Neurospora crassa OR74A: one gene and its partner. The protein of the gene in region 1 interacts with the protein of each later gene in a pairwise test. Links are inferred from orthologs where the notes say so. Each region holds a gene or a part of one and is shown on either strand. Other genes may lie near its edges.

Region 1 (4,273 bases):
AAGGGTCGGAGAAGGCGCAAATGGATCATTGACTGTCCCGAGGATTGAAGAGAGGGAGGAATTGCGGACAACGATGCCAGGAATGCTTAGGACCGACACACGATTGACGATTCCTAATAGCAAGTCTTGGGAAGAGAAGGGGCGCCCATATGGAAGTTCCTTCATTCCTTCAGTGCCACTGGCGGGCCCCGGACCGCGACGGGGGTCAGTGCGCAGCCTGTAGAACCAGTAGCAGCGCAGCAGGGAACGGTTCGGTAGGCGGGTGCAGTCCGTGCAATTCCCCAGCAGGCATGGACGCCCCAGTCTCCCCCTGCTTGGCCTGCTGCAGTGCTGCGCTTTTACCTGCACTTGCACTGCTGCAATGCTGGTCGCTTTCGGTGCTGCACTCCTCTTCTGGGCAGCCAAAGCAACCCAGGGCGACGAGGAAAAAAAGGGCCAAGTGCAAATGAGACGGACCAGGGGGTCGCTTAGCAGGGTTTGGTTAGATTAACTCGACACTAACTACGACCGTAGACGGAATGGGTGCAGACGAGTTAGTATCAAGACAAGATAGCAAGTATCACCACGAGCTCCGCATTCAGGATGAGGTGCCGGCCTCCCTATTGTCCTGCCCCATCCGTGCCATTGTGATTGACATTGTTGCAAGCTTCTGGAAGCGGGACTGGAGGTCAAGATCTAGGAAAAGAAAAGCACGATGGAGGCCGTTGAAGATGGACTGCTGCCACCGCCGCTGGATAGGCAGGGACAGGACTAGTCCGACCAACCGACGGGACCTTTTTTGGATCTGTCGGTGCTGCTGTGCATGAAAGCTGCAGCAAGAATGGCAAATGCAGGGCAGTCAGAACACGACGGGTTCCGCCCCCACTTTATCGTCCCCCCTTTGATGGTCTAGCGGAACCACCCCGGCTCAGCAGGCATCTCCGGACGGGATTGGGAATGGCGCCATTGGGTGGGTGCCCACTTGCTCCGACCGATGATGGACGCGAGCTTGAACGCTCTGGGTGGGACGACGAGGGTACAGAGGAGAGCCTCCTGTTTCTGCATGTATGTATGTATGTATGTATGTACACTACAGTAATCACAGACCGTGAAGTCCTATGCAGTTGCTGGTGTGCATTCAGCTACAGGAGAAGAGTTTGCAGCCACTCTAGCAGTTCAAGCAGCGATATCATATGCCTTTTAGGAGGATATATGTTCTTACTGGGGATTATCTTCTCAATACTCGACCGAAGTTCGCACCACGATTCTGTTCCAAGTTCCAACTAAGCCTCAAAGTGCAATTTCGTCGATGACAGCCGTGAGAAAGCTTGGCAAGACCGCCGACGGTCCGTCATCGGTCAAGGCGGGGGTCCGTGGCCCGGCAGAGAAGAACGCCCGTCGCCAGCGGGCTGGGAACTCGGGCACAAAGAAAGAACAAAAGCCGCTGTGCACACACACCATGGAGCTCCTTTCTAGTGTACACCAGACTGGACAGCACCAGACGCCAAGATGGCAGAACATCCCACTTGCCCTTTGCGACAATCCAACCTTTTTACCATTGTGCACAATAGCCTCACAGCAGATCACGGTTAAGATCAAGAAAATAATTGCATCTCAGTCAATCCCCATTGCTACAGAAGTGACCAAACATCCATTCGCACAACAACTTGCACTTCACGCCTCTGAGTTGTTGTCGCAGCGACGTGCTCGATAAGCTGCATCACGTGACTGTCCCGCATCATCCCAGCCCACAAAGTGCTCCTCAGCAAAATCGAGCCTCTAGCCTTGGCCAGGGCTTTTTTGGCTGGCAACGAACTGAACTTCTCCACGAGGCGAAAAAATCGTCCTGGACAGCGCAGCCTCAGCCAAAGTCTCCAGCATTTCTACGTGCTGCTTTGCGCGCCGCGTCCCCTATCACCACTTTATCCATATCTCCTCCAGATTAGCCAAGTGCCGAGGAGTTGCCCATCATGGTGAGTTGGGAATACAGCCATAGCCTTATGGTTATGGCTTCGAGTTCATATAATCTTCTGCCCCTCCTTTGACTGGAAAGCCAACTCCATCGTCACCTAACCTCATCACCGCCCACCCTGCCCTCCACCCCCCCCTTCAACCCTCGACCACCCCCGCTCCCCGCCTGTCCCGCTCACCACCAAGTGTCGTCGTGTGTTGTGACCCGTGGTGACCATTACTGATCATCAACAGCCTCCCCCACCTCACCAAAAGCCTGAGAATGTTCTCAAGCGCGCCCACGAGCTCATCGGGGTCAACCAGGCCCCCGCCGCCCTGACCCTGCTCCACGAGCACATCACCTCGAAGCGCTCCCGCAATGTCCCCATCGCCTCCCTGGAGCCCGTCATGCTCCTACTCGTCGAGCTCTCCGTCGAGCAGAAGAAGGGCAAGCTCGCCAAGGACGCCCTCTACCAGTACAAGAACATCGCCCAGAACACCAACGTCGCCACCATCGAGTTGGTTCTCAAGAAGTTCATCGAGCTCGCCGCCGAGAAGGTCACTGCTGCCCAGGCCAAGGCCGACGAGGTCCAGTCCAGCATCGAGGCCACCACCTCCAACATCGACGATCTCGAGGCCAGCGAGACCCCCGAGTCCATCCTGCTCGCTACCGTTTCCGGTGAGCAGTCTCGCGACCGCACCGACCGCGCTATCGTCACTCCTTGGCTGAAGTTCCTTTGGGAGGCTTACCGCACTGTTCTTGACATTCTCAGGAACAATGCCCGCCTCGAGGTTCTCTATCAGAGCACCGCTATGCAGGCTTTCGACTTCTGCCTCAAGTACACCCGCAAGACCGAGTTCCGCCGCCTCTGCGAGCTTCTCCGCAACCATGTCCAGACCGCCGCCAAGTACTCGGCCCAGATGCACGCCATCAACCTGAACGACCCCGATACTCTTCAGCGTCACCTTGAGACCCGTTTCCAGCAGCTCAACGTCGCCGTTGAGCTCGAGCTCTGGCAGGAGGCTTTCCGCAGTGTTGAGGATATCCACACCCTCCTCAGCCTCAGCAAGCGCCCCGCCAAGAACGTCATGATGGCCAACTACTACGAGAAGCTCACCCGTATCTTCCTTGTCGGCGAGAACTACCTCTTCCACGCCGCTGCTTGGGCTCGTTACTACAACCTCTTGCGCCAGTCTGCTGCTCTCATTGCTTCTGGCCACAGCAAGAAGGCTGATAACCCGGCTTGCAGCGATGCTGACCTCCAGAGGGCTGCCACCTTTGTCATTCTCTCCGCCCTCTCCATTCCCGTCATCAGCACCTCGCGCTCTCGCGGTGCCATGGTGGACTTCGATGAGGCCCGCAAGAACAAGAACTCTCGTTTGACCCACCTGCTCGGCATGGCCCAGGCTCCTACCCGTGCTGGACTCTTCCGCGATGCCCTTTCCAAGTCGCTTCTCCGCCGCGCCCAGCCCCAGATTCGCGATCTTTACAACATCCTCGAGGTCGACTTCCATCCTCTTTCCATTTGCCAGAAGATTTCCCCCATTCTCGCGGAGATTGGCGCCGATGCCGAGATGCAGAAGTACATCCTTCCTCTTCAGCAGGTCATTCTCACCCGCCTGTTCCAGCAGCTTTCGCAGGTGTATGAGACTGTCGACCTTGAGTTCGTCGAGAGCTTGGCTCAATTCCCCGAGCCTTTCCAGGTCACTCGCGGCACCATTGAGAAGTTCATTATGAACGGCAACAAGAAGGGCGATCTCGCCATCCGCATGGACCACGCCACTGGCGTTCTTAGCTTCGATGCTGATGTCTTCTCTTCCGCCAAGGCTGTCCACGCCGGTTCCTCTGCCGGCTCTGCCGAGAGCGAGACTGGCTCTGTACAGCGTCTCCAGAGCACTCCCTCCCAGATTGTGCGCTCTCAGCTCACTCGCCTCGCTGAGGCTCTTTACACCACCTGCCGCTATATCGATCCTAGCTTCAACGAGGCTCGCATCAAGGCTCGTGATGAGGCCCTTGCTCGTGCTAAGGCTGGAGCCGAGAAGGAGCACCAGGAGGTCCTTGCTCGCAAGGAGATCATCCAGACGCGCAAGGATAAGGCTTCTGAGGCTCAGGCCCAGAAGGAGAAGGAGAACGCTCGCAAGAAGCTGCTCCAGGAGCAGGCCCTCCAACAGGCTGAGGCCGCCCGTCTTGCCGAGGAACAGAAGCTCCGCGAGGCGAAGCGTCTTGCCAACGAGCGCGAGCAAATCAAGAGGAAGGAAGTTGAAGCCCTCCTCAAGGATATGAAGCTTGAGGAACTTCAGGGTGAGGACATCGAGACCCTTGACAGCAACAAGATCCGCATGA
Region 2 (3,891 bases), on another chromosome or scaffold:
CACTGGAGATAGGCGCCAATAACGGGATTTCTTAGGGCGGCTGCAGGTGGATCGCGGGGCGGCGGAGAAGTCAGTGGTACCAGCTGCAGAGGCGACGAAAGCCGAGGTAGAGCTCCGAGAGTCGGATTCCGTGCCCCACGACAATGTCCATCTTTTGAGCACGTCTTGTCCCGTATGCTCGACTTGAATGCGCCGCCGTGTGTTCAGCGACCCGTGTGCGGACAGGGATGTGAGACAGCTTCCGGCTCGACGCGACTTCCTTGACGTGGAAGACACCCTCTGGATGAAGCTGGAGATGGCCATGCCTACACGACGCAGACTGGTACTGTAGAGCTAGAAGAAGGGTGCAGTGGTCTTTCTGCGTGCGTGCTGTAACAACATCACACTGAACAGCAGCGGACGCAGGCTCGGGGTAAGGGATATTCAGAAGCTCAAGACTTCCGCCCGGCCAAGCTCTCTCGACGCCCCCGGGCACCTCCACGACGGGGTGGGACCAGACGGATTCGGGACCCAGGGGTTTTCTGCGCCGCACAGAAGAGTCACAATGGGTTCCCGCCTAGGTAGACGACGGGGGATCGATGTCGAGGATCCAATGATCGCCGGTTTGCTGGCGGGAATAGAGGTTTCGTGATTTGTGATTTTTTTTTCTTTTTTTTTTCTTTCTTTCCCTTCTCGAGGAGTCACCGAAGGTGAGCGTCTCAAGACGTGCCGCAAATGACCAGTGTAAATGTGACAACAAAACGTGAAGCCAATGAGATAACCTAAATAGAATAGAGCCCAAACCCAAGCTTCTCAAAATAGTACGTATTCACCATGCATTCTTGCAAGAATCCTACCATGTCTCGTTAGAAAAGCCTCTATTTCCGTCTACAAATCTCCGAGAGTTGAAGAACTTTTCCTCCTCGATGCGACCCCCGGAAGAGGGCATTCATATAACTGCAATTGAAGTGGGTGTCTAGATGCTGCATCCATGACTCTACAAGTTCTCGGCTTGCTGCAGGTAGCAGCTCGGATCATGATGTGCTCGCACTGTCCTGTCTGTGTCGTTGTTCTAGATTGAAGTTGGTGTGGCTTGCGGCCGCGGCACAGGCTTGACGAATACAGCTGACTCTTAAACTCTGAGTCACAGACTGAGCCACAACTTCTTATCGGTGGCTGTCGACGGGCCGGCAGGCTGCGAGCGGCGGATCGAGGTGGCAGGCTGCATCGCAAGGTCCAGAGTCCGGTCCGAACTGAAACCAGCAGCTTCAATGGATGGCACACGGCTGGCTGGGACGAGGGACTGGAGAGGGGCAGCTTGGCATCTGCAGGGATAGGTGTTGGTTCGCCCCGCGGCCGTCAGAATCCGCCAGAGCCAGCCAGCCTATCGCGCACAATCTGCGGAAAAATTACTGGGAGTGGAAATCCACCCAAAGAAAGAACACCAAAGACCGATCCGACGACGACGACCGCATCTACAAAGACACTAATCCACCCACCTACCTCCCAAGTCGTGCAACCCCCCCCCGCGATATTTCTCGACGACGAATCCACTCAGTGTCTTCTAACGACCATAACACTTCCATACCGCCGTCCACGCCTCGTCATATTTAATAACCCACAATCAAGATGAGGCCCATTCTTCTTTCGGGCCACGAACGTGCCCTCACCCAGATCAAGTTCGTCTTCCCTCCGCATCATCATCGCATACCTTACCCGCCGACCCGACCCCTCTTGGTGTTCTGGCTTTGGCATGTCGGGCATATAGAGATGCAGCCTCTAACAGCAACCCTTTACCCCCAACAGGTACAACCGCGACGGTGATTTGCTCTTCTCAGTTTCCAAGGACCAGCAGATTTGCGTTTGGTTCGCGCACAACGGCGAGCGTCTCGGTACATACCACGGCCACCAGGGCGCCATCTGGACCATTGATGTCGACCCCACATCCACCATCCTCGCCTCTGGTTCTGCCGACAACACCATCCGCCTTTGGGAGATCAAGACCGGCAGACTTCTTAAGACATGGGACTTCCCTACCGCCGTCAAGCGCGTTGAGTTCAGTGAGGATGGCAGCAAGCTTCTGGGTGTGACGGAGAAGCGCATGGGTCATCTGGGTACCATCGTTGTCCTCGACATCAAGCTCGATGTTGACGCCGAGCAGAGCGATGAGAAGGCCATGACTATCGTTTGCGAGGACAGCAAGGCCACTGTTGCTGGCTGGAGTTATCTCAGCAAGTACATCATTGCCGGCCACGAAGACGGCTCCGTCTCCCAGTTCGACGGCAAGAACGGCGACCTCCTCTACAACATCCCCATCCACGAGCTCAACCAGCCCATCACCGATCTCCAGTGGTCGCACGACCGTACATACTTCATTACCGCCTCCAAGGACAAGACCTCCAAGGTATGTCACATGGCTCCACAACCCCCCCCCCCCCCCTTTTTTTTTTCTTTCTTTGGTCTTCTTCCCGGATCCTTAAAACCGAAATCAATGAACAGTCAATCGCATGCTAACACTCCTTGATTATTTTCACAGCTCATCACAGCTAAGGACCTGGAGGTCCTCAAGACCTACCCCGCCGACACCCCTCTTAACAGCGCTACCATCACTCGCAAGAAGGACTTCGTCATTCTCGGTGGTGGTCAGGCTGCCATGGATGTCACCACCACCTCCGCGCGTCAGGGTAAATTCGAGGCGCGTTTCTACCACAAGATCTTCGAGAGCGAAATTGGTCGTGTGCGCGGTCACTTCGGTCCCCTCAACACGGTTGCCGCCGACCCGACCGGCAAGAGCTACGCCAGCGGTGGTGAGGACGGTTACGTCCGTATCCATCACTTCGACAAGGGTTACTTTGACTTTATGTACGAGGTCGAGAGGGAGAGGCAAAACAAGCTCAACCAGCAACAACAGCAGACCATTTCTGCCTAAACGGATCCCTTCTATCGACATCGATCGAAACTTTCGGACTTTCAGCAAGCAGGATCCGAGGAGGGGCGGCAGAAAGGGGCGGAAAGGCGATTCGCGGGACGAAATATGGGTGTCGTGTTATTGAGTTCAGGATTCTCTCGACTTGTCGGAGGAAGGAAATGAGCAAACGGGTTATTTTACATCGCGCGTCCAGGGATCCAACAATTTGGGGGAAATGGGCATTTCACAAACGGCGTTTTTTTCAGGCAACCTAATCTGAGAATTTGGGCGATTCCACCCAATATTTGGTGAAAAAAAAAGTGAAAAGGAGCAAAAATTGGAGCGATGAGGTGGTGCGGTTCGATGTGAAGCAAACGAACGAACAAGTGAGTCGCGCGGAGAGCGGATATGTAATTTCCATCTTGTCACGAAAGGAACCTTTGGTCCCTATCGAAGCACAGAAGAGTCATTTGTCATAGTTGAATTCGGTCGTTCTTCTGCTTACTATCTTGCGCAACCTCGTTCATGTGATATCAGATTGGACGTTATAAGTAGAGGTCTTTCGCCAATTGCTTACTCACTCCCTTATGGTCAATAAGAATCCAACACAAGTGGAAACAATAATACAGGGGTAAAGGAAGTACAAGACTGCGCACATCATGCCCTATTCATCCATCAGAGAACGGATTTGACCAAAAGGATATCTTTTGTTCCTCAGGTAGGCAGAGAAATCCCTCGCTAAATGACGGCAGGTGAGATAACCATCACCGAGACCGCAACATGAATACGACACAACGGAAACGCCGCGAGCCAACTGCATTAACCCTCCCTGGACTCTTCTCAGTGGTGAACCGAGCCCCTTCACCCAATCTAACCCAGTCATATGAAACGCAACTACAGCTTCGAATACCAAGCCAAGTCAATACATGTGCCGTAGCTTGTATTTTTGGTCTGGACCACCATCAGGCGGTCTACTTCTTCTTTCCCTTGGGGGCAGCCTTGCC

Evidence for each region. The genes of interacting proteins can lie anywhere in the genome.
Region 2: the proteins of NCU00040 (region 1) and NCU03876 interact in binary tests that used the Saccharomyces cerevisiae proteins (3 or more experiments, as listed by UniProt). The link is inferred for Neurospora crassa OR74A from reciprocal best matches to the Saccharomyces cerevisiae genes RPG1 and TIF34.

Annotation. Positions count from the first base shown.
Region 1 is NC_026503.1:2,375,198-2,379,470, reverse strand, and holds the start of NCU00040 (eukaryotic translation initiation factor 3 110 kDa subunit), read left to right. Parts: upstream 1-1,473; 5' UTR 1,474-1,949; coding exon 1,950-1,952; intron 1,953-2,184; coding exon 2,185-4,273.
Region 2 is NC_026506.1:1,995,036-1,998,926, reverse strand, and holds NCU03876 (eukaryotic translation initiation factor 3 subunit 2), read left to right. Parts: upstream 1-1,346; 5' UTR 1,347-1,608; coding exon 1,609-1,658; intron 1,659-1,785; coding exon 1,786-2,383; intron 2,384-2,515; coding exon 2,516-2,908; 3' UTR 2,909-3,391; downstream 3,392-3,891. Other genes in the region: NCU03877 (C-1-tetrahydrofolate synthase), read right to left, coding at 1-303; crf4-1 (chromatin remodelling complex ATPase chain ISW1), read right to left, coding at 3,859-3,891. UniProt on the Saccharomyces cerevisiae protein: Component of the eukaryotic translation initiation factor 3 (eIF-3) complex, which is involved in protein synthesis of a specialized repertoire of mRNAs and, together with other initiation factors, stimulates binding of mRNA and methionyl-tRNAi to the 40S ribosome.